2 linked regions of the Neodiprion lecontei genome follow. The protein of the gene in region 2 binds, or shares a complex with, the protein of the main gene of each other region. Links are inferred from orthologs where the notes say so. Each region holds a gene or a part of one and is shown on either strand. Other genes may lie near its edges.

Evidence for each region.
Region 1: evolutionarily conserved signaling intermediate in Toll pathway, mitochondrial (region 2) and complex I intermediate-associated protein 30, mitochondrial share a complex: the UniProt entries of both Homo sapiens proteins name them as parts of the mitochondrial complex. The link is inferred for Neodiprion lecontei from reciprocal best matches to the Homo sapiens genes ECSIT and NDUFAF1.

What each region holds. Positions count from the first base shown.
Region 1 is NC_060266.1:45,327-49,494, forward strand, and holds complex I intermediate-associated protein 30, mitochondrial, read left to right. Parts: upstream 1-2,114; 5' UTR 2,115-2,300; coding exon 2,301-2,656; intron 2,657-2,874; coding exon 2,875-3,403; 3' UTR 3,404-3,540; downstream 3,541-4,168. UniProt on the Homo sapiens protein: As part of the MCIA complex, involved in the assembly of the mitochondrial complex I.
Region 2 is NC_060261.1:8,888,069-8,892,041, forward strand, and holds evolutionarily conserved signaling intermediate in Toll pathway, mitochondrial, read right to left. Parts: upstream 2,225-3,973; 5' UTR 2,015-2,224; coding exon 1,099-2,014; intron 1,012-1,098; coding exon 713-1,011; 3' UTR 707-712; coding exon of another isoform or gene 681-706; 3' UTR 622-680; downstream 1-621. Other genes in the region: coiled-coil domain-containing protein 137, read left to right, coding at 2,455-2,531, 2,607-3,258, 3,335-3,538.

The sequences.
Region 1 (4,168 bases), on a different chromosome or scaffold from region 2:
TATGCATTTATCTATGGTTTTACAGTCTTCTATACTCCAGGCTATATAGTAAAGCGTATGTTGCTTAAGTATAGCTCTCAGCTCCGAATGCACAAATGGCATTGTTGAGTGCTATATAATAATTGGGTATAATTGTGTTAGTTAATTATAGTGTTAATATGATAGTGATATATAATAACGTATAATAGTATTATAGTTCTCTGTGGTACGAAGATCTCGTAACATGGTTTTTAAGCCTTGGCTAGTGAATTTCATAGTTATTTCCATCTAGGGATATTCCAAATAGTTAGACAGTTGTTTTAATTTCTTATGGTTACAAGATTCTCGTACTTCGAGTTTGGTTAGTTGATAAAAGTAACATGCAGTAATAATAATCGATAAAACATACGGACGTTCCGGTCGGACGTTACACGAGCTTCCTTGAGGAAACCTTCGGCACTGCGATTGGCTGTTTCGTTTCATGTAGCCAACGCTTGCGCTCGGCGTCTATGCACTTATGACCCGTATGACGCGGATCACAGCCAGTCTACGGGTTAACTTCTTTGAGGTTACACACTCTCATCAACCGACGCGACTTGACAATGAGAGCCAAGTGGTTTAAGTTAGATTTAAATACAGCCGAGTGGCGCTTCGATCAGCAGTTTTACCACCATAAGCAATCTCATATCCCTAAATATGTCCTCCTTCTGGAAGGGAGAGCCAAGTTGTGACTATGAAACGAGGACGCCTCTGAGATTCAAGGAAGCCTTCATCAAGGCGTCCTTTATCCTTGAGATAAGGAGTTACTATGAATACGGGTGTATGGGCGCAACTCGTTAATGCTTAAACTCAAAAAATCGAGCAAGATTGGTCAAAACTGGTAAATGCAGTAATGTTAAGTAAACCCCGGTGGAAAACGCTATAAGATACTTTTGGGCGAACGCGCCTAGAAATTTTTGCCCACGTTATAGTGAGAAAAACTGGAACACGCGTGTCTTGACCTGGTATAATCTAGGGACCTTGTCAGGGTGCGATTTAAACGCCTGTATATATACCCGTATTCATAGTCTCTCCTTATTTCAAGGATAAAGGACGCCTTGATGAAGGCTTCCTTTAATCTCAGAGGCGTCCTCGTTTCATAGGGTGTATTCCGAAATATACTGACAGTACTGCAAGTACTGGCAACCACGTTCCGAAATCGCGCGACAGCTTACTGCCGCCACTCAGTGACGTCATGAAATTTGTGATGTTGTTGACTGCGACTACTGCGGTCGGGGATGTGAGGCAGCTGCACTACTTGAGAGATGGCCGCGTCCTCGGTGTAGCGTTCCGATTTTATTGCGGCTGGCAACTCGAAGTAAAAACGGTACGCAGTTCGCAGTTGACTGCGTAACGTCACGGTCGGCAGTACCGGAAGTATATTTCGGAATACACCCTTAATAGGTTACGATCAGCATCCTTCTTTTTTTACATTTTGTAGCGAAAATTTCCCTTTTTTCCGTAAGAGGCGCTCAAATTGCGATCAGACAATTCTTCTTACGTTACCTCCTCAGAGCACATACCACTAAGGTTACCTCAAAACTGGGGACAAGTTTTATCGCAGTTTTAATTGTCTCCTTCGTACTTTTCCGTGCTATCAAATCAAACTATTGGCAATTATAGAAAGATGAAGAATTATGGTGTTATTTTACGAGCAGTAAAAAGCAGCAGCAGTTTTCCCCTATCACTTCCGGTGCAAGTTTCTGCTGCTCGCAGTTCGGTTTCTCGAGCGACAAGCCACAAGACCACAAGAAGCCACGACCTATTTCATGAGCAGTGCTGCTGCTGCGTAAAATTAGCAGACTGATGCTAGTGAAAACTAGTAAGTTACTAAACCACTGCTGCTTTTTACTGCTCGTGAAATAGCACCCTTACGCTGCTTTTTCACGTGCAGCAAACAACCGAATGCGGCAGCTGCTAAAATTTTCTGATTGGTCAATGATTAATGGTGTACATACACACATGGATCTTGCTGTACATACATGCATCAAAATTGCTGCGAAGTAGAAACCCATTGTAGAAACGAACGTACTTTCGTTTGCTGCATACACAACAGAAGCCGCCCCCCCCCCCCCCCCCCCCCCCACGCCAACGCCAACACGTATGTATGCACGTATGTACGTAGCAGGCAGCCCCTGTGTCCATTGTCACATGTATTTATTACTGGCGATGCAACGAAGTGGCACGGGAAAGATATTACTAGGCGTTCGTTTATTATCACAGACAGTATCGGCAAGTGAATTACGGTGGAGTATGTTGCACGGCGCGTATCATCAGTAGTGATGTACTTCAGGATTCCACGGATGGTGGCAACAGTCACCAGATGTGAACACGTTGGGATACAAGTACGTCGGTTTTGGGAACAAGATCGCAAATCAGGTTATCCGCGAGTCGCAGCAAAAAGCTCATCCGAAAAACGAAACGACCTCTGGCACATTCGTAATGGCTTTCGTATACTCGGGGACGAGTTTAAACTCTTCAAACGTGAGGTAATTGAACACTTGGAAAGTGATCCGTTGTTGATATATCGAAAGGACGAAATTGACCTCGCTTGGCGGTTCAACGGTGACAAAAAGTCACTCGACCAATGGTTTGTCACCGCCGATAGTGACTATGAGGAAGGTTACTCAAATTGCAGGTGATTATGAGAAATTTGCATTCAGGCCCACGATTCGTGAAACAAGGACCTCAAATATTGCAGCCTAGTTTCATGAATCCGGCCCCAAATCGCATAAATATCTAAACTATAATCACTGCAGTACAGTTACGACACGTTGGAATGCTATTCCTCGACACGAGAAAATCCTTTGAGAATTTCAATAACGATTTTTTTTCGCTTTTCCTATCCACGCGAAGCCTGCAATTGACCAAGTCTGGCAGAGGGCTGTTTTCTGGATACTTGGACAAACGTGTACCAAAAACAGGAAACATCAAAAAGGCAGGATATTGCAACATTAATACTCTACGTGCTCGCAAGTCCTTCAAACGAGAAGGTTACTATGACTGGCATCCCTATAATCATCTGGTAATGCGGGTTAGAGGGGACGGTAGATCCTACATGCTCAACATATCGACAGCTGGATACTTTGATATAACTTGGAATGATGTCTATCACTATGCACTCTACACAAGAGGTGGACCTTATTGGCAGTATGTGAAAATACCTTTTTCAAAATTCTTCATGGCCAGCAAAGGAAGAATCCAAGACCACCAAGAGCCATTACCCCTGCACAATGTAGTTAGCTTCGGAATTACCGCAGCTGACAAGGTGACAGGGCCGTTTAACTTGGAAATTGACTACATCGGATTGTTATTTGATCCAAGTCATAAGGAAGAATGTGCGTATGAAATGTACAAAACTGACGACTACATCGCCGGATATTGATGTAGTTGCACAGACATTTATCTGTTTTTCCTCCATTTCAACAGCTCAGAAATTTCTGTTTGTAATTATAATTCTCCGTGGAGGAAATCAAATTGTAGCCAGGTTCACGTAGGATAATAAAAAATCTCATAAACATATATGACTCTGAATGGATAGACCATTCAATATCTTCTCTCCCTGCTAAGAAGTAACTGTCTCTGCTGAATTTTCTTCATACAGGATAAAAAATGTAAATCGTACAAAACCTAATCATTCATGTTTTCACCTAAATTTAATTATTAGTTGAACTAACGTTCCACGAGCGTTCATCAAGACACCTGCCGGTAAGCCAGGTCCGTTGTTTGTAGTCAAATTGCACGTTACTACCATCACGGCACAGGATTGCCGGTTCAGTTCGGATATCACAGCTTTTATTAGAATGCCTATCCAGCCATTAGAAAATGTCCAGCTTAGCTATCTCGTCCCTTAGGTATAACAGCAAACAGAAAATGACAGGAAGAAAACGACTTTCATGTCACCTGCTGGGTCGATTCGGCGTCAAATTTATGCAGTAGAATGTGATTGGTACAATTGATATTACATCCGGTTATACCGTGATCGATTTCGTCAATAGGAAAGCGGACGAAGATTGACTTGGATCTCAACCAGTTTAGTTACTATCCACCTGTAAACATGGCTGTAACTGTTATACACTTTATTGTGACAAATGGGAACGTAACAAACTAGCGAGAATAGAATTTGCATCAATCGTTGTACCAGGATACT
Region 2 (3,973 bases):
GATTATCTTTGACAGTCTATTTCTGAATGAAATGTCAAACTTTTACGGAATATTTTTAAACCTAATGTACGAGATGCCACTTACCGTTCACCCGCATTATTCCCGCGAACTTTGTGGATCTCTCGCCATTATTTGTTTGTATCACATGCGGCCATCTTATCCTATCAGCTGCTGGGGTGATGTGATTTTTCTACATACGTGATATTTACCTATCACAGTTAGCATAGAAATACTTTCATTGCCCGTTATAGTTATCCTTGTTTTGAACAGATTTTTAAACCGTCATTACGACTCGGAGAAAATTAATTCACGCTAATCGTTTAATTTTTTTTATACGTCCGCGACAAGGTTTTCATTCTTATAGGGATTTGATTTTTTTTTTCTTGATGAAAACAGCGCTGCTCAACTGACATTCGATCAGCGCGATCGTGTAATTGAAATTAAACACGCAACAGTTTCAGCGTAAGTTTTCCGATTCATTTAAATTCTTTACTTCGCATTCAGTTACGACGATTTTATCATTGAAATGTAAACCTTGATACATATTTAGAAGAATATTGCGATAGAGAAAAAATAAACTGAACAAGTTACAGGGAAATTAAAAAACCACACCAGTCAATGTTATTTTTTTAATAAATAGCTCAAGCATTGCTGAGCGACGATCGCAGATTTTTTATTTACTATGTACAGGTGAAATTGTTTACATGAAATTCTAATCTTTATTAACTTTATTTTCTACTCCCTCATCTTTAGGTTTGTCAGATTTATTATTGGCCAATACAACGTCGCCTAAGGGACTCTTTGGCTTAAATATAATGGGAATATTAGCTAAGATGTCATTCTCTTTCTGTAAAAATCTAATCCAAGATAATAGAGAGTCGCGACTAGAGGTTCCAGTCGCACAAACAGCAAATATCGTGCCATCCTCTTGCTCGTGAATCGCCGTCTCATCTTCAGTCGGTACCACAGATTTTTTTGTTTTCCAAAATGGCAATTCAATTTTACTAACGTCTGGAAAAGATCATTATTGTTAATTAGATTGGCGAAGAGAGTTTCAGGAAAAAGACAACAAATCACTTTTAGAAGAATATTTCTTACCATCGTCGTCAGGCGGTGGTAGGTCAGGTTTTGGAACAGGATCTCCCCTCAGTATGAAGTAATTAATGGTCAAGTTTTTTAACCAAAGTCTAAAAGGCCCTTCCACATATATGGGGGCTGTGGAAGCATGCTTGTTAAGCAGTTTTTTCTGACCAATACTCATTCCAGAAACAATCCAAGTATCGTCAATGGAATCTTCGAGATCTTTTGCCTGGAAGATTGTGATTTTTCGGAGCAAATCGATGCTAGTAATTCTCTCTATGGCCAGTTTGGCCAACTCGAGAGAATCATTGGGCAAAACTTCTGGCAATGGCCATGGACTCGCGTTTTTGAACTTGGGCATCCAGTACATCATTCTCCAATACTTCCTCAGCGGAAATCCCAGCTTACCGAATATGTTGAGAAGGATATCCTGCATTTCCCTGTCTGGTATAACTCCGTTGTTTTCCATCTGTTCAAGGACATCTATCGCGCATTGCTGCTGCTTTGGATAATGCATGAACTCAGCCTGTATCGTATTCTCCGGAATGAACTTCCCCTTCGGTAGTACATTGATCAAGTTTTTGTATACCTCTAGATCTTTTTCGACTCCGAATTCCTCCATGTGCTTCATTGCTGCGTAAATGAATTCGACGTGACCTCGCCTGTGAATGTCTCTGTCGACGAACATTCGCAGTACGTCTAAGTACGTTTTTTTCTCCTTACTTCTAACCTGTGCAAACCCGTAAAAACTCACCGCCTTGCTACCTTCATTTTTTTTGTTACTATTGTCTTTAGACAGATGAGCGCTGGTCACAGATATGCAACGCAAAGCTGTTGTTGGTCGGTAACTTTTCAGGTCGTGCAGTATCAACTTTTTTCTCATTCCTGGATAAACCCTGAGCAACACATACGATCTTCTTATTATCGATGTCATATTGCTACTTGGTATAATGGTTTGTTGTATTTCTCAAATTAACGGAGGCACGATCATAGTCGTAATGCTTAAATCCGCGTGCCGGTCAAACGATTTTCGTATTTTATGCAATGTGTAATTGATATTCTTTGAAAAACCTCTATGTTTAACATCCCATTCCGTAATATCGGTTACACACCGAGGTTATAAGATTGCTGAGAGGTTAGGTTATATTTTCTCAACACCGCGGCCGGCGGAGCCTCCACCGGTGGGTGATTCACCAAATTTAAATTTTGCCGCACAAAAATCGTTCGTAAAAACTCCGCACGAGTGCAGCACTGTCGGGATTTGCGATCCGTGGCTAAACAATAAGTTTGGTTGGTCCAAATTCGAAGCGTGCGTGCTGCTGGAACTAGTACATAAGTACAGCCGAAACATTGAAGTTATGAAATAAAGTGAAAATGGGACGCAAGATACCCGGAAAAAAACACAGAGGAGTGAAGGACCCGACTAAGCAACAAAAGAAGCGTTTATCAGAGTAAATATCGTTGCGTGGAGTTGTGTGATTAAATTTTGTAGGTTAAGTTGATCATCGTAACGTGTCAAATTTTAGGTTAAACAAAGTGATAAACGCGCCGCCGAGGGACAAGGATGAGCAGGCGATACCGAAGAGTCTTGAGCGCGTGATGAAGCTGAAGCAAAGCGTGAAGGACGGTAAGATGATGAAGAAAAATACCAAGAAAAAAACGAAGCTGAAAAATCAACTGATCGTGATGGGCAATCACCATCCACAGATCGCTCATCCCAAGGCAAGACCGGAGAAAGTTGTTCCTGTTTTTTCGCAAAGACCAGACGAATGTGGAAAGGCTTTTTTGAACCGAGTGAACTCGGAGACTCAGGCGTTCTTAAATGAGACTGCGTTTGAAGACAAATATGGTGTGGAAGTCAAGCGAGATCCAAGTACTGGTAATATCGAAGGATTGTCTAAGAGATCGAAGGATGAGATAGATGAATTAATGAGACTCAAATTGAAGCACAGTAATACCAAGAAGAAAAAGAAAAAGAAGAAAGACACCGAGACGACTAGGCTGACGAAAGCTCAGAAAAGGAAACACAAGCTCGAGTTGAAAAAAACTAAAAAACTGCAGGACAATATAGACGAGTTCAAGGTCTTCAAGGAGACTATTGAATTTGGAGATGTTGTCCACGCTCCTCCAGAACTAAAAATCAAACCGAAAAAAGCAGACGCTTCTCACTCCGAACGGGTAAAAACCTTACCAATATTTGATTAGTTATGCGTTGTATTTTTTTGGATTAATTTTACCGATGATTTTCCGATAGCCTGGACGAAGACGTCTTCTTCTTGATTCGCTTTTCAAGAGCCATGACAAATCTGCCGAGAACACAACAGGCGTTAAGTCTGTCAATAGATCTGGAAAACGCAAAGATCTCCCGGTTGGGGAAAGAAGACAACTGGAGGAACGACAGAAAGAAGCCATAACTGCATACAGAAACCTGAAGTCTCGGAAAGCTGCTGATTTATGACCATGGGCAATGGCCGTGTGATCAGTATTTGTACATATGAGAGCCTTAGCAGAGAATAGAAGGACGAAATGTGTGTGTAAATTGATCAGTTTATTTACGATATTTTTTTAATTACATTAGAGTATATATAATATAGAGGTTAAGTTTCACGGTATTCTACTTTGGCAGAGAAGTAGTTGGGAAAACTGTGGGAGGTTACACTTTGCTAAAATTGTCATTGATAATATTGAAACAAAATGAATAGCATTTGCTACAGTAAAACAGCGATTTAAATGGTCATAGATTGTTTTTGCTTGTTATTGATGACGATGATGAACATGAAGCAAACGGTTTCAACTAATCTAAAATAAAATAACAGTGCTGTAAAGAACAAAACAAGTAATAAGAGCCTCTTATCTTGTGAAATGCCAAGTGTTTAGATCCTTTGAAATGTCT